7 linked regions of the Canis lupus familiaris genome follow. The protein of the gene in region 1 interacts with the protein of each later gene in a pairwise test. Links are inferred from orthologs where the notes say so. Each region holds a gene or a part of one and is shown on either strand. Other genes may lie near its edges. The genes, in order: CHD3, SIRT6, IMMT, PTN, SERBP1, HABP4 and YAE1.

The links.
Region 2: the proteins of CHD3 (region 1) and SIRT6 interact in a two-hybrid assay, tested with the Homo sapiens proteins (2 studies listed by BioGRID and IntAct). The link is inferred for Canis lupus familiaris from reciprocal best matches to the Homo sapiens genes CHD3 and SIRT6.
Region 3: the proteins of CHD3 (region 1) and IMMT interact in a two-hybrid assay, tested with the Homo sapiens proteins (2 studies listed by BioGRID and IntAct). The link is inferred for Canis lupus familiaris from reciprocal best matches to the Homo sapiens genes CHD3 and IMMT.
Region 4: the proteins of CHD3 (region 1) and PTN interact in a two-hybrid assay, tested with the Homo sapiens proteins (2 studies listed by BioGRID and IntAct). The link is inferred for Canis lupus familiaris from reciprocal best matches to the Homo sapiens genes CHD3 and PTN.
Region 5: the proteins of CHD3 (region 1) and SERBP1 interact in binary tests that used the Homo sapiens proteins (3 or more experiments, as listed by UniProt). The link is inferred for Canis lupus familiaris from reciprocal best matches to the Homo sapiens genes CHD3 and SERBP1.
Region 6: the proteins of CHD3 (region 1) and HABP4 interact in a two-hybrid assay, tested with the Homo sapiens proteins (3 studies listed by BioGRID and IntAct). The link is inferred for Canis lupus familiaris from reciprocal best matches to the Homo sapiens genes CHD3 and HABP4.
Region 7: the proteins of CHD3 (region 1) and YAE1 interact in a two-hybrid assay, tested with the Homo sapiens proteins (2 studies listed by BioGRID and IntAct). The link is inferred for Canis lupus familiaris from reciprocal best matches to the Homo sapiens genes CHD3 and YAE1.

The regions. Positions count from the first base shown.
Region 1 is NC_049226.1:32,947,518-32,951,744, forward strand, and holds the start of CHD3 (chromodomain-helicase-DNA-binding protein 3), read left to right. Parts: upstream 1-1,396; 5' UTR 1,397-1,421; coding exon 1,422-1,692; intron 1,693-1,788; exon of another isoform or gene 1,789-1,870; intron 1,871-4,227.
Region 2 is NC_049241.1:55,814,757-55,818,396, forward strand, and holds part of SIRT6 (NAD-dependent protein deacetylase sirtuin-6), read left to right. Parts: exon of another isoform or gene 1-529; intron 530-617; exon of another isoform or gene 618-680; coding exon of another isoform or gene 681-746; intron 747-1,088; exon of another isoform or gene 1,089-1,452; intron 1,453-1,490; exon of another isoform or gene 1,491-2,168; intron 2,169-2,447; coding exon 2,448-2,575; intron 2,576-3,364; exon of another isoform or gene 3,365-3,500; intron 3,501-3,640. UniProt on the Homo sapiens protein: NAD-dependent protein deacetylase, deacylase and mono-ADP-ribosyltransferase that plays an essential role in DNA damage repair, telomere maintenance, metabolic homeostasis, inflammation, tumorigenesis and aging.
Region 3 is NC_049238.1:39,271,572-39,275,211, reverse strand, and holds part of IMMT (MICOS complex subunit MIC60), read right to left. Parts: intron 2,995-3,640; coding exon 2,858-2,994; intron 1-2,857. UniProt on the Homo sapiens protein: Component of the MICOS complex, a large protein complex of the mitochondrial inner membrane that plays crucial roles in the maintenance of crista junctions, inner membrane architecture, and formation of contact sites to the outer membrane.
Region 4 is NC_049237.1:11,030,520-11,034,159, forward strand, and holds part of PTN (pleiotrophin), read left to right. Parts: intron 1-796; coding exon 797-958; intron 959-3,640.
Region 5 is NC_049226.1:43,517,427-43,521,066, reverse strand, and holds part of SERBP1 (plasminogen activator inhibitor 1 RNA-binding protein), read right to left. Parts: intron 878-3,640; coding exon 704-877; intron 1-703. UniProt on the Homo sapiens protein: Ribosome-binding protein that promotes ribosome hibernation, a process during which ribosomes are stabilized in an inactive state and preserved from proteasomal degradation.
Region 6 is NC_049222.1:70,965,870-70,970,290, reverse strand, and holds the start of HABP4 (intracellular hyaluronan-binding protein 4), read left to right. Parts: upstream 1-1,551; 5' UTR 1,552-1,624; coding exon 1,625-1,982; intron 1,983-4,421. UniProt on the Homo sapiens protein: Ribosome-binding protein that promotes ribosome hibernation, a process during which ribosomes are stabilized in an inactive state and preserved from proteasomal degradation.
Region 7 is NC_049239.1:10,248,520-10,252,844, reverse strand, and holds the start of YAE1 (protein YAE1 homolog), read left to right. Parts: upstream 1-1,456; 5' UTR 1,457-1,513; coding exon 1,514-1,642; exon of another isoform or gene 1,643-1,810; intron 1,811-3,460; coding exon 3,461-3,582; intron 3,583-4,325. UniProt on the Homo sapiens protein: The complex LTO1:YAE1 functions as a target specific adapter that probably recruits apo-ABCE1 to the cytosolic iron-sulfur protein assembly (CIA) complex machinery. May be required for biogenesis of the large ribosomal subunit and initiation of translation.

The sequences.
Region 1 (4,227 bases):
TTCTAAAAATCTGTACTCCTGGCCCCCTAAATTCATTTCCCAAGTCAGATGAATTTTCTAGTCGAGGCAATCGGGGGAGGCGGGGTCGGGTAAGGGGGGAGCGAGTAAATCAGAAAAGAGTGCAGATAAAATTTACAACAATTATAAATCACTGAAAAGCCTGGGCAAAGGGGAGAATCAAACATGGACTCCTTTGAAGAAAAAAAAAAACCTCAATCATCGTATCTATTCATATCTCTTCCCCCCAAAAGTCACTAGGATTTCTGTCACTTTTTTTTAAAAGAAAGGGGGGAAAAATCCAGCCCCGTGCCTCACTTGGACGGTACGTACACAATTAAATGCGTTTTGACTCCAGCGAGGTATGTAGAAACAAGAGTTATATATAAACATATATTTCATCTTTTCCTTTTCAATGCCTGAAGGGGAAAAAAAAAAACCTTCACATCAAACCACTCCCTTCTGAAGTATTCAGAAAAAAAAAAAAAAAGCTTTTCTTTAAGAGAAGGGAGGTGGGGAGGAAGAGACTAGTAAAGAAAAGAAAAATATTTAAATCTAGTTGGACTAGTATCTAACTAGTTAACCTTTAACAATTTATGCTGATGTCAGACTGAGCATGAGTACTGATTAATGCCCCCCCTCAAATATTTTTATGGGGGGGGAGTTAGAAAGAGCAGCCATTTTTGTTTTATGCAGAAACCCTTCGTGCCCCCCCAACGCGCACACTCACACACACTCACACACACACAGTACACAAGGAAAATATCTCTATTAATCTGTGCACTAATCAGTTATGAAAAAAGGGAGAAATTTGTGGGTTTCTGGGTAGAGGCTAGGAGATGGGGGTGTAACAGGGAGGAGAATGGGGGGGTGAAAACTGAAATATTAAGCCAGCCATTTTGTTTTAAAAGGGGATTTTTCCCCCCTCTCCCTTTCTTCATGGAGGGGGTGGCGGTGCTTGGGGGGGGGTTGTTTTAAAAATAATTTCAAGGCGGCCATCTTACTGCCTCAGCTCTGAGAAATATTTCTGAGCGCCCCCCTCAGAATTTAAATATATTTAAAGCAACGGAGAGGGGGGCAGAGAGAAGTCGAAAACTTTTATATATATATATATTTTTTAATCCCCCTTTCTCGTTCTCTTGGGAGGAAGGGGAGGGGGGGAAAGTCTCTCAATTTTTTCCAAGACAATTTTTGGGGGTGGTTCGGCCCCCCTCTTCAGCCGGCGGCCCCGAGGGGGGGTTCTGGAGGGGGGTGGCCCGGGGGTTTGGGGGGCTGGGGGAGGCGGTGGGGAGGAGGAGGAGGACGCCGCCGAGGAGGAGGAGGAGGAGGAGGAGGAGGAGGAGGAGGAGGAGGTGGTGGTGGTAGCGGTGGGGGAGGCGGGCGGGCGGTGGGTGGGGGGGTGGTGGGGGGGCCAGAGCCACAGGATGGCTTCCCCTCTGAGGGACGAGGAGGAGGAGGAGGAGGAGATGGTGGTGTCGGAGGAGGAAGAAGAGGAGGAAGAAGAGGGCGACGAGGAGGAGGAGGAGGTGGAGGCGGCCGACGAGGACTACGAGGAGGACGACGACGAGGGAGTGCTCGGGCGCGGGCCGGGCCACGACCGGGGCCGCGACCGCCACAGCCCCCCCGGCTGCCACCTCTTCCCGCCGCCGCCGCCGCCGCCGCTGCCCCCGCCGCCGCCGCCGCCCCCGCCGCCAGGTAAGCGGCCGCCCCGAAGCTCTCCCCCCGCCCCCCACCCCCCGGCCCGAGCGGGAGCCGCGGGCGCGCGAGGCCGGCCGGGGGCGAGGCACCCACCGCGCGGCCGAGCCGAGGTGAATCCGGGGGCGCGGGGCGCCAGCGTCGGGCCCGGGGCCCCGGGCGGGCCGGGCCGGCGGGCGGCGGGCGGCGGCGGCGGCCGCGGGGCCAGGCCTCTTCCCCTCCCCCGCCGCACCCCTCCCCCGCCGCCGCCGCCGCAGCCGCCGCCACCGCCGCCGCCGTCGCCGCCGCCCGGGCTGGAGAGCGCTGGGCGCGAGCTGCGCGCGCGGACCGGGCCACTCGGTCGCGGCTTTCGGGGGAGGAGGAGGAGGAGATTTTTTTTTTTTTTACCCTCGGCTGGGAGGGGGTAGGCAGGAAACGGCCGCGGCGAAGCCAGGGCCCCCTCCCTGGCCGAGCGAGGGACCGCGGAGACCCTGGCGGCCGGACGGCGGCGTGGAGGAGGGGCGCGTGGGGGAGGGGCGGCCGCGCGGGCGCCCCTCGGGCTCCCGCCCGAGTGGGGTTGCACTGAGGTGACGGGGAGTTTCCGCGCGTGGAGCGGACCGCGGGCCTCACCGCCCCCCCTCAGGGGCGGGGGAGGCGGGGGTGGGGGTGGGGGCCAGCGTCCCTGGGACCCCCCACCTTCGGGAACCTGGGCGCCCGCCGACTCCCCGGGGCGCGCGGTGGCGCGTGGGGGAGAGGTCGCGTGAGCGCCTGCGGGCGGCGGGTGATGGGGGGCAGGTGGTGGCCGCACTCCACGCAGACCACTTCCTGGACTCACGCTTAATCCGCCTCAGGGCGCCCCCTCCCCCCCCCCCGTCCTAATCGGGAGAGCACTCCTTGAAGGTTGGGGAGCGCGGGGAGAGTGTCTGTGACCAGATGCCCCCAACTCCACCCCCTTTATCAGCACCCTGCTCCAGGCTCTTTTGTGTCAAGTGCGAGCCCCCTCCCCCCCCCCCCCCGCCGTGTGACCCCGTCAGTCTGGGGTGGCCGAGCTGCCCAGCTGTGACTCTCACGTGGCTGCCATTCACTGTCACTCTCGCTGAAACCACCCGCACCTTGATCATGCCGGGGAATGGGGGGGCGTGCACTGCCCACCCAGCTGTTCTGCAGCTTGACCGTCACTCGGCACCCCTCCCCCGGGATGACAAGTCCTCTGGCGCTCTCTGGGCAGTTCCACCAGGGCTGGAAGGGACTGGGACAGCCTGCTGCCTGGAGTGGAGGGGGGGCGGCAGCAACGGCCCCCCTCAGACCACCCTCCTAATGCAGTGACTGCCGATCTTCTGGAGGACAGGGGAGCATCCTTACGGTGCTCGCATCTTTGGGGCTGGAAAGGGGACATCCACACCCCCAGGCCTCTGGGAGCCCTGTAGCACGAATGCATCAAACTTCAGGACGTCTATCTTTGTAAAACTGTCACATTGATCTGTGTGGCTTATGTGGCAACTGTTCCTGTTCGGTTGAGACAGCCTTTGAGGAGTATGGGGTACCTTCTTGGGGTGAGGGTGGTGGAGGGTACGTGTCTGATGGAAACGGGGACACCTCCCCTCCCCAAGCTTGTCTGAAAAAGAGAAAAGTTTTCAGAAAGTTATCCCAGAGAACCCACGAGGTTTCAGGAGGGAGGAGGAATAAAGGATGGTGGGGAGGGGGTGCCTGGAACCCAGCTGATGTGCTAAAAAGAGGGAGAGAAAGGATGTCAGGTTGTGTTGCCCCGCGGACAGTTCTCACCTATTTGTAGGGCCAACTTGGAATGTGGTGTTTATGCGTTTTTGGTCTGAGATTTGGGAATGTAAGAGAGGGGCATGAAAGAATCTGAGGTCGAGGTTGGGTCTTTTGTGTCAGTCCTCCCTCCCCACTTCCCCTCTGCTCTCTCAACAGCCCAGAAGAAACGTCAAATGTTTTTAAAAAAATTTGTATCTGAAATGAAAACCCACCTCCTCCCTCTTCCAGGGCGATCGTACCCCCCCTCCCCCAGTCTTGAGGCCCTCCCAAGTCAACAGAGTGACCCAGATGCACTACCCCCCCCCCGGACTTTCTGAGGCAAAACTTTGAGAAAAATATTTTTGGTCCGCTCGTTATTTCTGTCTACCTAGGTGTGGGCAAAATAAGCCTCCTAGAAGGAAATGTGTGCGGGCTGCCCTCCCTCATCCTTCTCCAGAATATGAATTCGCACATATTAGAGGTCTATTGTTTTTCATCCTGACTGCTTTGATTCTCACCATTTTGTTTTACATTCTTACCCAAGACCAATTTTATCCCTCCCCCCCTTCTCGGCTCCTTACGTTGTAAAACGTTTAAAATAATAGCACTCATGTTGGTGGGGGAAGGGAGCAGGAAGCCAAAAACTCATTTCTTCTCCCTCCCCCTTCTGGCAAGTCTCGAGAAATAATATAACATAATATATAGATGTGATTCCTTGGGGGTGGGGGTGGGGAATGATTGTGGGTGGTGCGGAAAATTCTGGTAGTTTCTTTGCAAAAGGTCTGAAAATACAAACCCACC
Region 2 (3,640 bases), on another chromosome or scaffold:
CCCCGCACCTGGGCAGCGCTGGGCAATCCGCAGCGGCGTCCAAGGCCCCACGTTGCACACACCAGGCCCCCGCCGCACACTTGCACGAGTACCCTGCGTTTGTGACTTTCATAAACTCCCGAAATGTGCAGCAGAAAGAGCCTCGACGGGAAGCACCTGGCCTCGGCGACGGCGGGGGGTGGCGTGGGGACCTCCATTTGCTCATTTGCAAGAAGAGCAAAGGGGACGCGCTGGCCACTTGTGCCCCTCATTTTATTCTTTTGCAAGATTTTTTTTTTTAATTCATTTACGAGCACAAGTAGGGAGAGGGAGGGGCGGGCTCCCAGGGGAGCAGAGCCGCACCCGCGTCCCATCCCAGGACCCGACCTGAGCCGAAGGCAGACGCCTAACTGACTGCGCCACCCAGGCGCGCCTGTGCCCCTCATCTCAGGGGTGACTGCACAAATCTCCGCGGGGTGCTCGCCGCGGTCTCCCGCCAGCCGCCACCGCGTCCAAGCGGGCCGGCTTCCCTTTGCCAGCAGTTGACATGGCGCCTGCGGCGACAGGCGAGGCGCATGCGCCTTGGAGGGAGCGGCCCGGCGAGCGCGGTGGAACGCGGCTCCGCCCCCCCGGCCCGCCCCATTTCCGGCGGAAGCGGCCTCAACAAGAGAAACTTTATTGTTCCCGTTGGGGCGGCGAGGATGTCGGTGAATTACGCGGCGGGACTGTCGCCGTACGCGGACAAGGGCAAGTGCGGCCTCCCCGAGGTGAGCGGGGCCCGGAGTCCGGCAGGCCGCCCGCAGCGCCGCGGGCTGGGCGGGGCCGGACGGCAGCGGGGCATTGTGGGAACATCGGGAGGCACCGAGGCTAGACAATGGGAGGGACTTCCCAGGGAGGAGGGGGCGGGAAGTGACGCCCCCTGCGCTCCCGGGGACCCGGACGCCCCCAGCCCCGGGTGGGCCGAGCGGGTGACGGGGGAAGCCGGGGCGCAGCTGCAGGGAGGGCGAGGCGAGGAGGCGAATAAACGCCCTCGGAGCGCGAGTTAGGCCGGAGAGGAGCCCAGGGGCGGGAGCGCGGGGGCCGCACGTGCCAGGCGGTGGGGGAGGGTTTGGGCTGCAGGGACGGGCTCAGGTGTCACAAAGACCCCTCCGCCGCTGCCGGACGAGCGGGGAGTCCCTGCCCCTCTGGGTCCCCCGCCCCCCCGTGGGCGGGGGCGGGGTGGGGGGTCGCCCCATCCGCTGCGGGCTGGGCTGTGCCTTCTGCGTGAGCGGTTCGTGCAGCCCGAGCCCTCAGCCCCGTCCCCAGCCCCTGTCTCCTCCGCTTCCTCCTCCTGCCGGTCGGTCGCCTGAGCCCACAGACATTTCTTGAGCACCTGCTGTGCACCAGCCAGGTGCTTGCTAGGCCCTGGGGCCACAGTGGGGCACAGGGCATCCCAAACCCCCTCATTCTGGCAGGAAGACGCCCGAGGAGCAAGTAAATATAAGAAAGTAGAGGGTGGAGAAAAGTAAGGCCGGGAGCGGTGGTGAGAGCTGGGGCTGCACTGAAACCAGAGCCCAGGAGGCATCGTTTACATGACTTTTGGGCTTTCTTTCTTTCTTTCTTTTCTTTCTTTTCTTTCTTTTCTTTCTTTCTTATTGTGGCAAAATGTACCACCTTAACCATCTTTAAGTACACAGTTCAGCGGCATAGAACACGCTCATGCTGTTGTGCGACCACCCCCAGCACTGTCTGCAGAACCTTCTGTCTCCCCACACGGAGACCCCGTCCCCAGGAAGCACTGACCCCCGCCCCCTGCCCCACCCCTGGCTCCCACCACCTCCTCTGTCTCTGTGGACGGGCCTCCTATGGGGACTTCCTGGGAGTGGGGTCCTGCGGGAGGCGTCCTTCTGGGTCTGGGTCCTCTCCCTGAGCCCGGTGTCCTCGGGTCCGCCCACGCGGGGGCAGGTGTCGGGATCCCTTCCTTTCTAGGGCTGGATCATATTCCGGACATGGATGGACCGCATTGTGTTTATCCTTTCATCCATCGATGGATGCTTGTGTTGATTCCCCATTTTAGCGATTGTAAATGATGCTTCTGTGAACATTGGGTGTGCAAACGAGGGGCCTTTTGAGCCGAGACCTAAAGGGGGTGAGGGAGGAGCCATGTACAGCCCGTGCACAGGATCAGGCCTAGGCCTGGTGTGTTGGAGGTACAGTGAGGAGGCATGGGTGGCTGTAGCAGAGCGGGCGAGGGGGAGAGGGGGACAGGATGGGGCGGGTGTGCAGGGCCTTGGGGGCCACTGGGAAGGATTAGGCTTTTACCCTGGGGGAGTCCTGGAGGGCTGTGGGCAGAGGGGGGACCTGAGGACCAGCTGCCTTTTCCAGTGAGTTCTCTCCCCTGGATGAGGCAGGGCTTCCCCGCCTGTGGCTAGTGACCTTGCCCTCCGGGACACAGTTTGACCTCCCCCTTTTGCTCCATCCCCTGACAGATCTTCGACCCGCCTGAGGAGTTGGAGCGCAAGGTGTGGGAGCTGGCACAGTTGGTCTGGCAGTCCTCCAACGTGGTGTTCCACACAGGTGCTGGCATCAGCACCGCCTCGGGCATCCCAGACTTCAGGTCTGTGGGCGTGGAGGGGAAGCCGAGGCAGGGCTGCCACACAGCCAGCAGCTCCCTGTCAGCTCACAGAGGCTTGGGCATCAGAACCCCTCCTGCCACCTTCCCCCTGGGGGTGTTGAGCTTGGGGAAGACCCTGCCCTTGCAGACATGTCCCTTTAAGGCATGCTCAACCTTCTGCTCACATCCCATTCCAGGACCTGGTCACCTGGCCATGCCTAGCTGCAAGAGATTTTGGGGAATGTAGTCTTTTTGTTTTTTGGGTTTTTTGTTAAGAATTTATTTATTCATGAGAGACACAGAGAGAGAGAGAAGCAGAGACACAGGCAGAGGGAGAAGCAGGCTCCCTGCAGGGAGCCCGATGCAGGACTCGATCCCGGGACCCTGGGATCATGCCCTGGGCCAAAGGCAGGAACTAAACTGCTGAGCCACCCAGGGATCTCCAGAATGTAGTCTTTTTGCCTGGGCTCATCACACATGCCTAAATATTGGGTTTCTTTCTTTCTTTTTTTTTTAATATTTTATTTATTCTTGAGAGACACAGAAGGAGAGAGGCAGAGACACAGGCAGAGGGAGAAGCAGGCTCCATACAGGGAGTCTGATGTGGGACTCGATCCTGGAACTCCAGGATCATGCCCTGAGCCAAAAGCAGTTGCTCAACTGCTGAGCCACCCAGGTGTCCCTTTTTTTGGCGGGGGTGGGGGGTGGGGGGAAGGGATTCTATTTACGTCAGATGATGGGAAGGTCAGGAGCAGTTAGCTCCATGCTCACTTGCAAATATTTTTCTATCAGACCTGGCGCCAGGCAAGTGGCTTTAACCATCAAGCTCTCAGCCTCCTCACCTATTAACAAGGGCGTGCAACCAGACAGTGTCTAGACTCCTTCCTGCTTCAGGCATCCTGTTGTTAGACAAGAACCTTGCTGAAGTGTAAGGGTCTCAAACTGGCACCCCACCCCAGGGACCCCAGTAGGGGCTGAGTTTGTAACCCTGCCCCCTAGAGCAGGCCTATCGCATTCATACTCCCTCCCTAGGCCTCAGCCCAGACTTGCAGCAGGAGGGCAGATTCC
Region 3 (3,640 bases), on another chromosome or scaffold:
TAAAAAATTTCAGTATTTCTTCAGAGTAGGGTCCCTTAATCTAAGGTTCATGGTTAGGACCAAAGTTCACGAACCTCATCAACACCCCCCTCAATACCAACGAACAAAACTATGAAAGATTGTGGTCTAGCACATATAAATATTTTCTAAGGAGAGATGACTTTGTTATGAGATTCACAAAAGGAGATTATGAAGCAGAAAAGGTTAATAAGAACAAGAACTTTATGAATTGTTTGTTGATCACTCTTCAATGAAGCACCACAATTTAAAATTTGAATTGTAGGTCTGTCTACCAAAATCAGTTTAAGGCTAAGTAGAAAGTTTATACATTCATACAGTCCTTACTCCTCCAACACATCATCTTCAAGAATGACCCTCTCTAACTGGTAAAGTGAAAATCAACTATTATCAAACCCACTGCCCCACCTGGAGCTGAATTTTGTAAAATGTTATACACACACATACACACACACACAAAAGGGTTCCTTAAAAATCCTTATAGAGGTCCAAGGATAAGCTATTTTGTAGAATAAACAGTAGAATCCTACTATTAAGCCAAATCCAACTATTCCAAAACACTGCTTTGAGAAAGTAATTCTGTATCTATTTTAAGAGCCCTTGTGCACCAGTTTTTTTTTGTTTTGTTTTTTGTTTTTTTTTACTAGAAGAAACAAGAAGTTGGAATCCATTTTTAACATTTCAAACCTTCTGTTCATTCATATTTCTGGTTATTTTGTAACACTAGCTAATACCCTCTAATCTAATTAACCACTACTGTAAGATGTCCTTTAGTTGTAAAATCTTGATCTCAACAGATTTCATACGATCTAAATCCACACGCATTACATATTGTGTGTTCACTGGGAAGAGGAAATACCCTCTTACATAGTCTTCTGCCAAAGTAAATACTATGGACATTTAAATCTTCTAATAAGGCGCCTGGGTGGCTCAGTTAGTTAAGCATCTGCCTTCAACTCAAGTCATGATCCCAAAAAGGTCCTAGGGATGGAGCCTCACATGAGGCTCCCTGCTCAGTGGGGAGCCTGCTTCTCCCTCTCCCCATCCCGCTCATGCTCTCTCTCAAATAAAAATAAAATATTTTTTAAAAATAAAAATAAATAATAAAGCTTTTATTCAGTGTCCTGAAACATACCAATCTACTTGCATTTGAACCCAACTCCCTGCCTTCCCACATCTGCATAGCCAAAATATTAAGTATTCTCTGCGTGGTTTCCACTTTTCTGACTGAACTCTGACTGAAATTTAAATTTCTTCTTTCTTGTACTTTGAATAAACCAAAATTTTAAGTTTTTTTAAAGGCTGAAATTTCAGGCTATTTACATCAAAGCCCTAATTTAACTTTTTTTGTGATTTATGTGCACAGGACTAAAACAATGCAGTGTGTTTCAATTTTGTAAAAAGTACACAGTGTGGCAAAGTAATTTTACTAATCATGCAAGATCCTGATCCCTGAGATTCATAGTTTATGTACTTATTTTTACTCTTTAAATGACCTAGTATCAAGAAACATTTTTACACACTGAATAACTGAATGTAATTATAAAAAAAAAAAATAATTAACTCCAGGTATTAACAGTTTTAAATCAATGTAATTACTTTATTCTCTAAAGTGCTCAATATAAGTTAAATAATCATCTTTAAGCATTTAAAATAGCTGGTGTCAGGGGCACCTGGGTGGCTCAGTCAAGTGTCTGACTCTTGCTTAAGTCTTGATCTCAGGGTCATGAATTCAAGCCCCATATTGGGCTCCACGTTCAACAAACAAATAAATGAAAATACTAAAATAACTGGTATGGGGGTACATGGGATCTCTATTTTTTTCTTTTTTTGAGAGAGTGTGAGAAGCAAGGGTGGGGGCAAAGGGAGAGGGAGAATCAGGCTGGCACTATGCCCAGCTCAGAGCAGACACAGGGCTCAATGCTCGATCTCATGACCCTGAGATCATGATCTGAGCCAAAATCAAGTAGGATACTTAACCGACTGAGCCATCCAGGCATCCCTCTGTATTATTTCTTATAACTGTGTATCAATCTAAAAGTATCTCAAATAATAATAAAAAATAAATTAATTAATTAATTAAAGTATATCAAAGTAAAAAGTTTATTTTTAAAAAATGGCAAAAAGAGGGATCCCTGGGTGGCGCAGTGGTTTGGCGCCTGCCTTTGGCCCAGGGCGCGATCCTGGAGACCTGGGATCGAATCCCACGTGGGGCTCCCGGTGCATGGAGCCTGCTTCTCCCTCTGCCTGTGTCTCTGCCTCTCTCTCTCTCTCTCTCTCTGTGTGACTATCATAAAAAAAAAAAAAAAAAAAAAAGGCAAAAAGAATATAAATAAATTTTTTTTAATTTTAATTAAAAATGGTTGGAAACTTTAAAGTGAAAAAAAGTAAATGACAAGGGACGCCTGAGTGGCTCAGTGGCTGAGCGTCTGCCTTTGGCTTAGGGTGTGATCCTGGGATTCGGGATTGAGTCCCACATCGGGCTCCTTGCAGGCCTGCTTCTCCCTCTGCCTGTCTCTCTCTCTCTCTCTCTCTCTCTCTCATGAATAAATAAATCTTTTTTTTTTTTTCTTTTTTTTTTTTTAAAAAGCAAATGACAAGTAATATTCAAGCACTATTAAGATATGAAAGCAAATATGAACTAATTCTTGTACCATATCATTGTTGTGAGATAAAACTGTATATAAAACTCATTAAAAATAACATTTAAAGATTTTTCCTGCCTTGCTTATTTAAAAAAACAATTACTCTAGGTAGTCTTCACTTACTGAGAGAAAGCCCCTACTAGAAGGAAGAAATCAGTCCTAAATACTACATCAATACCCATTCTTTGGCTCACCTCCGAATTGTCCATGGCTGCTTTCAAGATGTTGGAGTGTGCGTTGACAGCCTGAACCGCAGCATTCTGAGCTACAATGGCCTGTTGAGTGATGTGAGCGGTTTGGCTCAGAGCATCTTCTAAGCTCTTGGCTACAGCTGAAATACATACAGAAGAGTTAAAAAACAAATCCTTCCATTGTACATAACTTTAAATTTCCCTTCTTCTCCTACTGAGTCCTCCATTGAATTTCCTCAAAAATGTAAGAACAAAAAATATAGATTTAGAAAATCAGTTTTATTTGAAGGTATGATAAAATGCTAGTAGATTATTAAATCTGGTGGACATATCTATGGGGATTCATTATACTATTTTTACTTTTATATATAACTGAATTTTTTCAAAATAGTGTTTTGGGTTTTTTTAAGACAAAAAAATGCTTAAAGAAGGCTAGCATATACTTCAAATAGAAGAACAAGGGTTTAAGCACTGTTAGCTCTTTATAGTTATTAGAGGCTGTAAATTCAACATAACCACCAGCTTTTTCAATTTAAATAATGATCCTACAGATCCACAGGGAAAAAGAGGTGCCCATTTCATCTCCTCAGCAGGAAGGGATACTCATAGCAACTTATATAACCAAAATATGAGTAGATAACAGATATGAGAAAGAAAAAGATAAGGAAACACGTCAACAAAAAAGAAAAACTGGGATCCCTGGGTGGCGCAGCGGTTTACCACCTGCCTTTGGCCTGGGGCATGATCTTGGAGACCCAGGATCGAATCCCACGTCGGGCTCCCGGT
Region 4 (3,640 bases), on another chromosome or scaffold:
AGTGGTTTCACTCTTGGCCATTTATCCTAGAGAAATGAAAACTTAACATTCCTCTAAAAATCTGCACACAAATCGCGGATAGCAGCTTTACTTGTAACAGCCAAGAGCTGGAAACAACCCAGCTATCGTTCACCTGGTGAATGGTTAAGCAACCCGTGATATATGCCTACTATGTATACTACTCAGTAAAAAAAAAAGAGGAACTGATTGTTGAAACGCAAAAGCTGGATGGACCTCTAGGAAATGTTTCACTGCTGAGTGAAAAAATGCTGATCTCAAAAGGTTACATACTGTATGATTCCATTTATATAACATTCTTAAAATGACAAAAATTACGGAGATGGAGAGGAGATGAGTGATTGCCAGGACTTGAGATGGAAAGGGAGAAAGGTGCCAAAGCTAAGCCTGTGACAGGAATAACCCAGAGGACTCTCACGTTGGAGCTCTTTTGCACTTTAATGGTATTGGTGTTTGCTCGTATCTATAGAAGTGACACTTCACACAGAACTAAACACACACATTCATGGGTACACACAACTGAGTGTCTATGAAATTGGCAGAACATGAATAACCCCTGAGGAATGTGTCCCTCTGCATTTCCGGGTTGTGTCCATGGACTCTGGTTATGCAAGATAATCACAATTGGGGGGAAATAGGGTGAAGGATATAGGGATCTCTCCATATATTTCTTTCAACTACATGTGACTCTACAATGATCCCACTGCAAAAAGTTAAAAAGAAAAGTGTCTATCTAGAGGAACTCAAAGATTTCTCTTTCATCCTACCTTGTCTTTAGCGGAGTGCAAATACCAGTTCCAGGCCTGGGGAGAATGTGACCTGAATACGGCCTTGAAGACCAGAACCGGAAGTCTGAAGCGAGCCCTCCACAATGCCGACTGCCAGAAGACAGTCACCATCTCCAAGCCTTGTGGCAAACTGACTAAGCCCAAACCTCAAGGTAGGTTCCTGTCATCATAGCATGCTTTCTTTATGCATATGTTAATGGGTCATGCTGGATCTTCAGATGTGGAGACTCGAATATTCTAGAGGGAAATCTTAGGTGAATTACCTCAAGAAAGGGATTGAAAAAGCCCTTTATGTTGAGCATCACACCAGTGCTTTTCAGCAGGCAATTGATGAGTTCAAATTAGAATCCTCTGCACAGATGGGGAGTGGGGGTGGGGATTGGAATAATCTCCTCGCACAAATAAACAATTTAGCAGAACACGCCAGTCGTTGAATGGTGACTGTATATTCCAAGTCCTAAATCGAGACTGCATCCTGACAAGTATGATGAACACATTTATGAAGATCATGAGGCAGAAAATCTAAAATCAGGTCTCTTCTAGATTATCCAGCATATATAGTTTGCATGAAGTCAGCCACATGATTTTACATTTCTCCTGTATTTCTCACAATTCTTTCAGTTTTACCAAGTCCCTTTATCATAGAATTTTAAAATTATATAGGGCTGTCTTTCTAGTCATTCCCAGAAAGTTACACTCTGCTCTCATGCCAGAGAAGGGGAACCAAAACAAATATCATGGCTATGGTTTCACAGAAATAGAATCTCAGCTGAGGGCAGACAAGGGGGGATTGCAGTCTTGTTTCATGGGTGTTAGGGGCTGAATGGTGTCCCCCCACCCTGCGCCAGCTTAAAGTGAAATAAATCATATGAGTGGGTCCCCGTCCAATCTGTCTGGCATATAAAGAAAGATTAGGACACAGACACATTCAGAGGAAGATTGTATGAAGACACAGCAAGAAGATGGCCATCGACAAGCCAAGCAGACACACCTCAGAATAAAGCAACCCTGCTGACTGTTGATCTTAGACTTCTCACCTCTGGAACTCTGAGAAGAATTTCTATTGTTGAAGCCACCCATGCAAATGAATACAGTAGGTCTCTGGGAACTCTAAGATACCTCCCTGTTTTTTGCTCATATTTGAGCTTGAAAATGGACCAGAAAAGTCTTACTGACCAGATTAAATATAAGGGGAAACTCAGAAAAATGAAGTCCATAATAAATGAAAATGGGGATAAAATACCTCCAAAAATCAGGAGGATTGGCTGGCCTGCTGCTGATAGTCAGAAAGGACTCATTTCACAGACCTAGCTCTTTAGCCTCTGATAGAGTTGTCCGTGGATATGGTTACCTTCAACTGCTTGGTGGCCAGATGCAGGCTAGAGTTGCAGATGGCACATCTAGGATTCAAGCTGCCCTTTGCAGATCATGGAAATCTGCTGGTTGCAGTGTGTATTTGGAAGGCATGATGTGAGGCTGGGGTCAGTACATGAGTGCGTGTGTGCCAGCTTTACGAGTATTACTTGCCTGGAGACAACTACACAGATCTAATGAAAATTAGTGGCCGTATCTATCCAGTGAGACTTCTCCAAAACTGGAAGAACTCAGAGATATACAGTGTCCAAATTACTTTGTAGCCAGACAGAGAACCAAAATGTTCAGCATAAATAGAGCATTGGAAAGAAAAGGGATTAAAGAAGTCTCCATGTTCTACCATAGTGGTTCTCACCCTGGCCTGCACATTAGAATTTCCTACCTAAAACTCCCAGTTGTCCAGGCATAACCCAGACCAGCTATCTCAGCCTCAGTAGCCTTGAAAATTAAGATGTCCCATGAAAGATTTCAGTATCAGCCGGAATCAAGAATTACTGAGTTTGAAACTCATAGAGACCACACACACTCACATGTGCGTATACGCATGCATGCCCATGCATGTGTGCACACACGTGTACACAATCTACTCCGTTCCTTCCTGTGGGGGAGAGAGACTGCAGTCTAATGGATGAGTAGGGAAAAATGAGAGAAGGATTAGGTGGTGGATGGTGGTAGGGCTGGGTGGATATGGAAAATGTTGAAAAGTCTGGAATAGATAGGACAGTGTGGGGACATGATTCAGGAAGACCCTTCGGATTATTTGGCAAAGACAAGTATGTGAGGATTTCTTTTGAACTGGACTGGCAGATAGTTTTCCATTTTCTCATTTGGTAATATATAATGAAGGTTATAAGTCTGGCTCATGCTTTCACCTTGAAAAATGGGGGTAAAATATTTTAAGTGGGTAAACAGTCTGTAATTTCAAATATCAAAAATTAAGGTATATACAATTAATTGAAAATGGGATTAGCCTGAGCGAGTTCTATATTTCACAGCACTAGGTAAAGCCTAACACTGATGTGCAAAGAGGACTCCTAAATGGAAGAAGACACTTTTTGGAGCATGATTTCTTATTATTTTTGTAAGTTTTAATTAAAGTGTAGTCAACATTCAGTCTTGTATTAGTTTTGGGAGTACAATATAATGATTTAGCAATTCCATACACTCCTTAGTGCCCGTCATGACAAGTGTACTCTTAATCCCCATCATCTATTTCCCCCCATCCTCCCTTATCTCTCCTCTGGTAAACATCAGTTTGTTTTCTTTAGTCAAGAGTCTGTTTCTTGGTTCGCCTCCTTTTTTTCTTTGTTTTGTTTCTTAAATTCCAAACTTGAATGAAATCAGATGGTATTTGTCTTTCTCTGACTTATCTTGCTTAGCATTGTACTCTCTAGCTCCATGCACATCATTGCAAATGGCAAGAGTTCATTCCTTTTTATGGCTGAATGGTATTCCATTGT
Region 5 (3,640 bases), about 11 Mb from region 1:
AGCCAGACAGAGACCATGAATTAACCTAACGCAAAGGTTACTGCTAATACTTTAATTTCAGTCATTAACAGCATATACTTTGGCATCAAATGATCAGAGTAAAAATTTATCAATCACTAGGTCTTCTATAAAAATATTTAAGAACCTGTCATATACACTGTATGAGGCATTAAATTATAAAGGGAGGACAAAAATGAATCCCAGCTCTCAACACTGCAGTCTAGTTTTTTCTAGATTATTGAAAAAGTGTCAATAATCATCCGGTTAGTGTCACACAATTATGCACACAAATGCTACACTGATACTCAAAAATGTAGCCAAGAGTCAAGGCAAAGGAGATAGTTGGCATTTCAAGTAGACTTTAGCTAAAGCTCAAGTTAACTTGGTTCCCTGTACCTAAATTTCCTCTTCTGTAAAATGGGGATATCAATATAGTAACAAGAATGAAATGCCATAGTACATAAAATACCTAGCACACCACCATGACCAGCACCAAATACTCAAAAAAGTGAAAATTTAACTTTACTAGCAAGCACTCTTCAGTCAATTTAAGTGCTTTTAAGCAAAAATACAGCCTAAAATGTAATTTCTTGAAGGTATATCTAACTACTTCTTCCTTCTAATCCTAGCCCCAAAAGGACCCAGGGCACTGATTTACCAAAAGAGGTCCTCAAATTACTTTAAAAAGAATTCTTAAAATTACCTTGTCAGTTCTGCTGCCACGGTTTGGACGTCCACCACGCCCACGGCCACCTCGTCCTCCCCTGCCACCACGTCCTGGGCGGCCAAGGTCTCCAAAATTGATCTCCAGCTGAGACGTTATATCATTTGCTGGCTTCCGGAAATGATGGTCCATAACCGAATCTTCAGCATGAGCCTAAAAATTTAAGAGTAGGTCATGGGGTGATTAACAGGAAAGCAACACTGCAAATTTCTAATTATTGAGCTTTCTCTTAAAAAGACCAAGAATCGGGATTTCCTGGGTGGCTCAGCGGTTTAGTGTCTGCCTTTGGCCCAGGGAGTGATCCTGGGGTCCTGGGATCGAGTCCCACATCAGGCTCCCTGCAAAGAGCTTGCTTCTCCCTCTGCCTGTGTCTCTGCCTCTCTCTGGGTCTCTCATGGATAAATAAAAGCTTAAAAAAAAAAAAAAAGAGGGATCCCTGGGTGGCGCAGCGGTTTAGCGCCTGCCTTTGGCCCAGAGCGTGATCCTGGAGACCCGGGATCGAATCCCACGTTAGGCTCCCGGTGCATGGAGCCTGCTTCTCCCTCTGCCTGTGTCTCTGCCTCTCCTTCTGCCTGTGTCTCTGCCTCTCTCTCTCTGTGTGACTATCATAAATAAATAAAAATTAAAAAAAAAAAAACATTAAAAAAAAAAAAACCAAAAATCCAATCTGTACTTCGTGAACAAATACAACAAATGATAATTTAAAAATATCAATACCACTAAGGTAATATGTAAACTTGGAGATCAGCTGTGATCTTAAAGGAAGAGTTCCTTTCACTTTTAACTTTATAAACTACATGTGATATTGGCAAGTCTTGATCAGAGGTATGTAATCACAACCACTCAAGTCTCTAGGGCCCATTTGAAACCTACCAAATCATAATCTTTAGTGAAGTTTGGGTAAGTACATTTTAAATATGTCCTTCAGATTAGATTCCAATGTGAACCCCTGATGAAGACTTTTGGATAGATTGCACGGGAGGTCTGTATCAGGGATTAATACTAAATCACTTTGTGAGTTTTAAAGAAAATTCTGGGTCTGCACTCTTCTAAGTCTGACTTGGGAAAATTGCAGAATTACAGACTCAAAAGTGAAATCAGGGAACCTTGAAAAGCTATAAGCACAAATAAATCCAAGCCTTAAATACAGCCAGGTAACCTTAATGTCAACATATTTGTGAAATCCAGGTCCTCCTTTGTATTTATATATAAGGTATACCACCCACTCTGTAAAAAAAACAAAACAAAAGCCGGACAATTTTACACTGCTTAATTCCTAATTTTTTCCTGTATGTTTGGAATGAATAAATTTTCACCTTCTAGTTCCAAACCTTTCTTATAGTACTTTGGAGTGTGTTTTAGTTTTTCTAAATGCAGGTACAATCCTTTTCTGAAGGAATAATGAACATTTTGTTCTTTTTAAATCCTGTAACACCACAACTGTTAATAACTTACCACTCACTCTAAGTACCAATGAATTTTATATCTGCGTCTTCGCCCCTTTGTCTAATATCCAAATTAATTGTCATTCCTTAGTGCTAAGCCAATCTAAAGGCAGTAGACGGTTCTTCTTAAAATATCAACTTTAGGGCAGCCTGGGTGGCTCAGCAGTTTAGCACCGCATTCAGCTCAGGGCCTGATCCTGGAGACCCGGGATTGAGTCCCACATCGGGCTTCCTGCATGGGGCCTGCTTCTCCCTTTGCCTGTGTCTCTGCCTCGCCCTGTGTCTCATGAATAAATAAGCTCTTTATATATATATATATATACACACACACACACACACACACACACACACATATAAAGTCAATTTAAATTAATGTTTAAATGTAAATCCAGAAAACCTGCAAAGTCAATTATACATACTAATTGTTTGCTATTGCAAAACAGTATTATCAATTCATTAATTAGAAGCATTTAAGTTTCTAGGAAACAGAAGCAAAAAAGCCTAATTGATATACTACTGAAACACCTCAAAGGTTTTATTACAATAATATAGAGGAAGTTTAAATGTTGGTGAACATCCCTTTAAGACAGCTAGTAGGATAAATCTGCAAAGTTTTTTTTCTAGAGCAGTGAATGATAATCAGGAAATAAGAGCTTTGGCTTCAGCTCTGTCAATTAATACCCTAATTCAGTTATTCATAATCAATTTCACATTTTAATTTTAAAACTTTCTAATTATATATAACGGTTATTTCTGAGAAGCTCAATGTAAAAATATGATACCTAACCTGATGTCTACAAAATGCATGAAGAGACTTCAGAGTAATTAATGAATCAAGAAAAATGTATCAGTATTTTGTGTATGTGTCTTGTTTTGGAGAAGACCTCAAAAAAGTTACAAATTATGCCAAAGGTACCTTAAGTAAATCTTTTCCATATTAACCTAAGCAGTTTAATCATTTCTACAAATTAACAATCTCCCCAAGATGAATTTTCATTGTTTCTTTAATCAAGAATACTTTAACCCAGATACACAACTCTATCTGCAAGAATTATAAAAAAAATTTTTTTAAATAAGCAAAAGCATTCAAATGAAGCAAAACGTCTTTTCCGACACGACTTCGCACTTTACAACATATCCCTGTTTATATTATTTTATGGAGTCAATGTTGTTAAAAAATAATTTCTAAACCATAAGTGTCTCAACCTTTATTTTACAATGTTCCAAGTTTGTTTCACAGCTATTTGTTTAGAAAATGAAGACGCAATATCTCATTGAATCTTTTAATTACACTGCCTTAGTAACATTTCAATTTAACTTTATGATTAGCATCTCCTACTTGCATAAGCCTTAAATGATGTAGCAGTGGGACTTTCCTCTAATAACGTGCTCCAGGGATTGTTACCCAATCAAAAACCACGAACATACCTTTCTCAAGTATTTTCATTAGTAAATTACTTTGCTGGTTCTT
Region 6 (4,421 bases), on another chromosome or scaffold:
CAGATCCCTTCTCAATCCCTTTTTAGATATAAGAAAAAATGTTCCCAGGAGTCCTCCAGAATACTTCCCTCAGGGAAGATCTGCACCAAGAGCCTATTGCTACACTAATCATTGGCAGGAGAATGGAATTACAGTGCATGATTTAAGATTAATCAAGTTTGAGGCTAGAAGGGGGCCCAGCTTCCCCTGGCCCATACAGGCACCTGATACCATAACAAAACACAGGTTCTGGGGGAAAATGTAAGAGGAAAAGGAAGGGCTATGAGACAAGCAGCTGGGTGCCAGACAAAACTTCCTGGAGGATTGTCCAGTTCAGAGTTCTCTGAGCTCCAGGCCTTAAATGAAAACAAACAAATGAAACAAAACCTCAACATGTCCAGAACTGATTTCATGATTCTCATCAAAATGGTCTCTTACAGTGCTCCATTTCCTTGGAATGCACCACCATGGCAGCTGCACAAGCCAGAAATATAGGAGTCATCATACCCTCTTCTTTTTCCTCAACACCCGTACCTACTGCGTCACCAAGTCCTGTTGATACAACCTCCAGAATAGCTCTTGAATCTACTGATCCCTTCCCTTCCACTGCCACCATTCTAATTCAAGTCACATGCATCAACTCTTCCCTGGAGCTCTGCGACAATCTTTTGCTTGGTCTCCTTGCATTTACTCCAACCTGCCTCCTATCTAGTCCTTCACATTGCAGCTGTGGCATTTTAAAATACATGGCTTAAGCTTAAAATTTGCTTCCCGCTACTCTTAGAATAAAGACCAAGGTAAGGGTCTCCGCCAGCTCTTTGCAATTCAGTTACAACGGTTTCCTTTGAGCGTTAATGGCTTGTGCTCCATCCCACCTCAAGACCTCTGTACTTGAGGTTGCCCCTGCCCCCGCCATTCCTCGTGTCTCAGTTTAACCGTCACTTCGAGGGAAAGCCTTTCCAGGCCTCCTAATTAGGTCAGGTCCCTCTGCTTCGGGCGCGTAAAAAAGTCCGTGCCTTCTGTTTAGGGCGCTTTTCTGTCTGCAGACTAAGATTGATGAGAACACGGAGCTCGCATCCCTTACAGCACAACCCCTTACAACCCCACTGCGTAGTTGAACGGCTGGAGGAATATACACACTTCCAAGAGTGGCCCGCAAGGACTGCATCCCGTGTCCCGGAAAGAGGACGGGTAACAGCCGGAGCCCGCCCGCACAGCCCGGCAGCCCGCACGACCGGCAGCCCGCACCCCCAGCCCCGCGGCTCCTCCCGGTAGCCCCGCCCCTGCGCCCCGCCCCTGCGCCCCGCCCCTGCGCCCCGCCCCTCTCTGCTGAGCCTGGGGGAGGGGCATAGAGGTCGCGTGACGTGACAGCAGCCCGCCGTTGATTGGGCTTCCAGGGACGCCGGCTAGGGGAGGGGGCGTGTCCTCCTGTGCTGATTGGCTGCCGAGGGGCGCCGGGGTGGGCGGTGGCGGCGGCGGCGCGGCGGCGGCGGCGGCGGCGCGGGGGCAGGTGCCGAGGGGGACGGGACCCCGCAGGGCAGGGCAGGGAGGGCGGCAGCGGCGGGCGGGATGGGTCCTCGCCGCCGGCTTTGCTGAGACTCGCTCGCGTGGGCTGCCGGCCGCAGGCCCGCAGTGGCCGCGGGGCATGAAGGGCGTTCTGGGAAGTCCCGTGGCCGCGGCCGCCGCCGGCGCCGCGATGCAGGAGAGTTTCGGCTGCGTCGTGGCCAACCGCTTCCACCAGCTGCTGGACGACGAGTCGGACCCGTTCGACATCCTGCGTGAGGCCGAGCACAGGCGCCAGCAACAGCTGCAGCGCAAGAGGCGCGACGAGGCGGCGGCGGCTGCCGGGGCCGGCAACCGCGGCGGCAGGAGCCCGGCCGGGGCCTCGGGCCACAGACCTGGCGCGGGTGGCGGCCGGAGGGAGTCCCAGAAGGAGCGCAAGAGCCTCCCGGGCCCCGGCGCGCCGCAGCCGGACAGCCCCGGGGTCGGCCCGCCGCCCCCTGGTACGCGCGCCCCGCCCGGCACCTGGGCGCCCCCGGATAGGCGCGGGGGTCGGGGGGCAGGACAAGGGGGTCACGGAGGTCATCGCTCTTGGCCGCCTCCCGACCTCCGCTGCGAGACCGGGGCCTGGGGGTCCTGGTCCAGAGGGAAGGGGCCTTGTGGCGTTGGAAGGTAGGAGAAGAGGACGGGAGGGGGCGTCACGCCCCTCGCGGGGGTGGAGGGGAGCGGGCGTGGAGCGAGGGTCTCAGCGTTCTGGAGCTGAGCCCTTACAAGTTGGGCAAAGTTGAGTCACACGGCTCGGGCGGTGCGTGTGGCGGAGGTGACCCCGGGGAGCTCAGAGGTAGAGCGTGCGGAGTCCGACTCCGTCCCCCAGCCGGACCTCTGTCTGCAGGATGCCGGTCGGGAGGCCGCAAGGGAAGCGTGGTGGGGAGGGGAAGGCAGGAGGGCGCGCCCGGCCGCGGGGTGCTGGAGCCGAGGCCTAGGTGACCGCGGGGAAGGGCTGTGACGTCAGGGCCAGGAGCGGAGTGCGGCGGGGACGGCCGCGGGGTCCCCGGCTGCGTGCGGGCCGCGCCTTCACCCCACCCCGGCACCCTCCCGCAACCGGCCGGTCGTTGTCCAGTGCAGCATGTAGTGTCCTTGGGATATGTAACCTGTCCTTAACTCGGGCTGCTTCAAGAAAAGCGTTTGTAACCTTTCACCTTTTCAACAAGCACAAAGTTCCCCACACCGCGTGTACCAGAGACCCCGGTCCGCATCTATCAGGGAGGGTGCTCAGGACTCGCTTGTCACCTGAACTGCATCAGCCCGTAGTCTGCAGGACTCCACCTGTGTTCCATCTGTATTCCTAAAATAAGGCGGTGATGCTGAGTGAGGCTTGCTTAATGAAAGTATTAAGGTTAAGATGTGTCGTCCGACCGCTCAGCCGTTGTTGGGCAGCGTATTCAACTCGCTTCTCTGGCTCGTTCCTTGCTCATGACAGCTGTGCTCCCAGCTGAGGTTACAACTCCTGACTTAAGGGTTGGGTCTTTGACTCGGGCAGGCTAGGTAGTATTTACCTGTAAAACTTCAGTCCAACAGTATCGCTTGTGAATCAGAAAATTCACTACAATAAAGATGTTGGAAACTATTTTAAATGCTTCTGGATATCTCAAGACCCCCATGCTGGTAGGGCCAGTACGTTTATGGGCCTATTTAAGGTGAATGAAGCTTGAGATACATTGTACATTTGGTGTTCTCATTTTTCTCATAAATCTATTTAGATAAACATAGTAATGAAAAAACTGAGGAAGGCTCAGCTTTTCCTCTCCCTTTTTAACAACTGAAAACAATGTGTTTTATCCTTTAGAATAGTGTGAAACTCCATTTAGTGCTATCTGTTAATACATTGCTTTTTAACCTTTTTAATGTTGAAAATCATGCATTATTATAAGGATTTTGAACGGTTCCCTAAATGTATGAAGTAAAGTAAAATTATCCTGTTTTTCTTACTTGTTAACACTTTGCATTTATGTACATACAGAACTATTTCTTTTTTTCTAATTTAAATGATATATGAGCTGAGTTGCAATCTGCTTTCCCTTAGCATTGTAATCTGGGTTTACTAACTTTTCTGTCAGTTGTTCATGATCCAGATGATCTGGCTTTTGAGATCCATATTAAAAATCTTTAGTTAATTTTGTAGTTAAAATGGAAATTTTGTCATTTGTCAATTCTTTTTCAGGCCTGTGTTCAGTTCATTAATTTACATTCATGTAGTTACTGTACTAAATTTTTAGAGAGCTACTCTCTCAAGGTTTTGTAGCCCTAATTGATATGGATTGTGCTTTTCTAACATTCAAAATTTTTAATTTAGAGTCTTATAAGTGAATGCTCAGTATGGACAGGAATCAAAGTCAAAACATATTTGACATATATTGGAAACATTTTTGGATACGGATGTGGAAAGCGTAAGATTTTCCCATAGAAACAGGTTTTTAACGTCCTTCACTATTGAACAACATATATAGACTGTACCCAAGCCTTGTTCGATAAATTCATTCTTGAAATTCATAGAGGCTATTTAAGCTTTGCTCTTCCTAACCTTTCAGAACTACTGTCCTTGAGTCAGAGCTCAACTTTATTTTGTAGAACATCTCACTGTAAATTTTATTATACTCTGTCCCTTCATATGGGCTTGGGTATAGGTCAGTGCTTAGACAACATGTGCCAGCCTTTTATTGGAAAGAGCTAGAGAAATTCAGTGTTTGCATTATCCACTTGGTGCTGCTGACCCAGCACAGAAACAGTCGGTTCAGTTGCAGTCTTGATCTCTTAGCACTAGATTGTGGGGGAAAAAACTGGACCCCTTTTAATCTTTGGGTGGTGGGGAGAGAATGAAATGTTCACAGTGTACTTATAATTATTCTAATAAGTAGCCAGTTATACTTAATGGTTTTTAATTT
Region 7 (4,325 bases), on another chromosome or scaffold:
GGTTTTTAAGTTAAGGTATTTTATGTGGCCAACTATGGAGTATTCTTATACATAATTCCATGGACCTACCAAGTAAAAAATATATATGCATTATATACATAATATATATTGTATTCTGTATAATGTATTCAATATTATACACAATATATATTCCATGTATAATATATAGTAACTACTATATATAGTATGCATATATATGCAACATACATAAAATTAAAATTTTGCATGTAAATGCAAAATTCTGAGCATTTAAAATGATCACCTAAACCACCCACTCCCCCTGACACACAGGCTCATGGTTCCCCTTACTTTGCTCACTTTTTTTTTTTTAAGATTTTTTTTATTTATTCATGAGAGACAGAGAGAGAGAGGCAGAGACAGGAGGAGGGAGAAGCAGGCTCCTTGCAGGGAGCCCGATGCGGGCTCGATCCCAGGACCCCAGGGTCACGCCCTGGGCGGAAGGCAGGTGCTCCACCGCTGAGCTCCCCGGGCTGCCCAGCTCACTTATTTCTCTGTCTCACAGCATGTATCCCTTATGATCTGGTAACAAACTACGTAATTCACCTATACCGTGCTTCTGGTTCCTCCTGCCCCTTCCACCGGAACGTAAACCGGAGGAGAGCTGCTAAGTCAGGTCTGTCCTTCCCTGACGTACCCCGAAAGCTGCAACGGTGCCTGGCGCCACAAAATGCATCAAATAAATAAATCATCACCACCCCATCACCACGCAAAAAGCTAAACGGCGGGCAGGCAGCCCGGGGGGCTCAGCGGTGGAGCACCTGCCTTGGCCCCAGGTCGTGACCCCGGTCTCGAGATCGAGTCCCGTGTCGGGCTCCCTGCATGGAGCCTGCTTCTCCCTCTACCTGTGTCTCTGCCTCTCACTCTCTGTGTGTGTCTAATGAATAAATAAACAAAATATTAAAAAAAAAAAAAAAAAAAAAGCTGAACGGCCCGAGCCCCGGTGTGGGTTCCGTCACCCGCACGCGTCCCAGCGCCCCCGCCCCGGGTGGGGACCAGGCGGCGCCGAGCCCCTGCAGGTGCACCAGGGCCGGCCTCCGCAGCCAGGCGGGCCAGCGGCGGGCCCCGAGACCCCGGGAGAAGCGCACTCCAGGGGCGCCCCGCATGGATGGAGCTCGGACTGGCCGCAGGAGCTACCTTTCGGGCCCTACAGTCCTGTGCCGCTGACGGCTAAGGCCCGTGGACGTCAAACCCCTAAGATGCGCTGCGGGGAGCTTCCCAGACACCGAGACCTCGGCCCGTCGTCGCGCATCCACTGAACCACCTCCAACGGCTCCACCCCGGCCGGAAGGCAAAGCGTGTCCCCGCACGTCCCGGCTGCCCTCCGAGGAGGTCCGGGTCCCGCAGCAGCGACTCCCGCCCCGCGGCCCGACCCGACGTCACGCACGCATGCGCGGCAGCCCCCCGCCCCGACGCGCAGCCTTCGCCCCGCCCCTCGGACCGGAAGACGTTGCGGGCGCTTCCGGCGCCCGGCCGCCCTGCGGTTGCCTCGGTGATGTCGTGGGTTCAGAGGGCCCCGCTGGTCCGGGGTCCCGGAGAGGAAGGGGACGTGTTTGACGAGGAGGCGGACGAGTCTCTCCTGGTGCAGCGGGAATGGCGGAGCCACATGCAGAGACGAGTCAAAGTAAGGCTGCGTGGCGGGCGCGGGGGACACACGGCGGCTTGTGGAGAGAGCGGAGCGCGGGCGCGAGGGTGGAGGCCGCGGGGCCCGCGAGGGCTTTCCAGGGGGTTACCGAGGGGTTACCCGAAAGCGCGCGAGACCTCGGGGCGCGCTGGACGCTGGGAGCAGACGCGAGCTAGGTGTAGACCTGGCGGGGGTCGCCGTGCCGGGAGGTTCGCGGAGGGCGTGGACGGGCTGCTCGAACGGGTCACGAGCCCAACGTCGGAAGTGGTTACTTTTTTTTTTTTTTTTTTTTTTTTTTTTTTTTATAGAGACACAGAGAGAGAGAAGCAGAGATACAAGCAGAGGGAGAAGCAGGCTCCACGCAGGGAGCCCGATGCGGGACTCGATCCCGGGACCCCGGGGTCACGCCCTGGACTGAAGGTGGCGCTAAACCGCTGAGCCCCCCGGGCTGCCCGGGAGTGGTTATTACTGGAGACACACGGGAAAGGTGAACCTACGAATGTCCAGAAGCAGGGATGCCCGGGGGGCTTAGCGGTGGAGCATCCGCCCTCAGCCCAGGGCGTGACCCCGGGGTCCCCGGATCGAGTCCCCCTGCATGGAGCCTGCTTCTCCCTCTGCCTGTGTCTCTGCCCCTCTCTCTCTATCATGAATAAATAAATAAAATCTTTAAAAAAAAATTAAGATCTTAAATAGTAATAATGATAAAAAGAAATGTCAAATAGGAATAAAGGAAAGCTGCTGTGGAGTACCGTGGGGCTAGGTGAAGGAATACCAAAGTTGGCTGCTTTTTTATTTGCTGGGTGTGCATTATCTTTCTCTGCTTTGTTCATTGAAACTAAGCTTAATGCCACGCCCTCAGTCTCCAGGTGGAGCAGTGGGAGCTGAGTTCACACGGCCAGGTCCACTTCCACCCAAGGTCTTTCCCAAGCAAAATACTGCCCGATTGGCCCTTGTTTGTTTCAGTGAAATGTTTGCTTAGCCCAACCACCACGTTACCAGTTTCAGAAACGCTTGATGTAAGGTGGGGGCCAGACCAGTGAGTCGCAACCGGCCTTGGAGTGCAGTGGCACCAGAGGAGATGGAGACGCAGGACAGTATCTCCGCCCACAGGGAATTTGCCGTTTATTTAAATTTAGATACCAGGCAAGATTTCTAAAACCGTACTTTGCATCTTTTTTTACTCACCCAGTTTCCTCTTTCCCTCCTTGAGCTGATTATTGAAGACCTCTGATAACCTCTTTTCTGCCCTACCTTCTCACCCAACGCTCATCAGTCAGTGTTGCCAAGGGGCCAGACATTAACTCTCTGTTTTCCTTCCTGTGAAGCCATTGTTAACACAGGGTTTTTAAAATCTGTATAAGAATCTATATTTTGGGGCAGCCTGGGTGGCCCAGTGGTTTAGCATCTGCCTTTGACCCAGGGCCTGATACTTGAGTCCCGGGATCAAGTCCCACATCGGGCTCCCTGCATGGAGCCTGCTTCTCCCTCTGCCTGTGTCTGTGCCTCTCTCTCTGTCTCTCTCCTCTGTCTCTCGTGAATAAATAGAATATATTTTTTTTAAAATCTGTATTTTTAAATGTGCCAAATAAGTCGACTCCTAAAGCGGGATATGCGAATAATAAACCTTGCTGGGAAGCATAATCTGCTCGGGTTGTGTGGCTGTGCCATAGGTTGTAGAACCATTATGTTAAATAGTAAACAGCAGTAAAGGCCTATTTCATCAACATTCTAAATCGGTTTTATGACTTTCCAGAAAAACCTACAGTGGTTTACTTGGTGTTAATTACAGCTGCAGTTTTCTTCATTACTTATTTTTAGGAAGGCTATAGAGATGGAATAGATGCTGGCAAAGCTGTTACTCTTCAACAAGGCTTCAATCAAGGTTATAAGGAAGGTGCAGAAATCATTATAAACTACGGACAACTCAGAGGAACACTGAGGTAATTTTTTAAACTTATATGCTGAGTCATTTTAACCTCAGTACTCCTGGAGGCCTTTTATAAAAGTAGTATGTAAAAATAAAGTATTTAAACTGAAGTGCTTTTCCTAGTGTTAAATCCACAAAAGAGTACTGTGACCATAAAATAATACTGCCTTCAGAAAGTCATCTACTTGAACCGTCAGTTCATCTACTTTAATATATGTCAGGTGTTGTCTCTTACTGCAAAGAAATGATAGGAACGTGTATATTTTGTGCTGCCTGAACTACCACCGATTTGTATCTCAAAAGTAATTCAAAAGATCTTCAGGTTTTAAATAAAGCTTTTAATCTTGGACATGTGGTAGAGCATAATAAAACAGACTTCTAGATTAGAAGTGCATGAGGAAAATTATATCTGGTCATAGAAAAATGATTCCATTTACTTTAGTGCTGAACACTGAATACCTGTCAAGATTCCATACTAATAATGGCACATATCAGAGCCAAGAGGTCAAATGGCAGAAGGAGCTAGGATAATGACATGCTTGTCATCTTGGAGACTTTGTACCTTTTAAATTAGGAAAAAAAATAAAAACATAAAATGGTTCGAAGAATCACTAATTTTTAAATTAGTTTTTAAAAAATTTTTAAAGTTATCAAAACAAAAAAGTTCATTGAGGTTTTAGAAAATTCAACTGTCAGAAATCAGAATTTATAGTCTACAGTAGGAAAATGATCAAGTATTCATTTTACATAAATCTT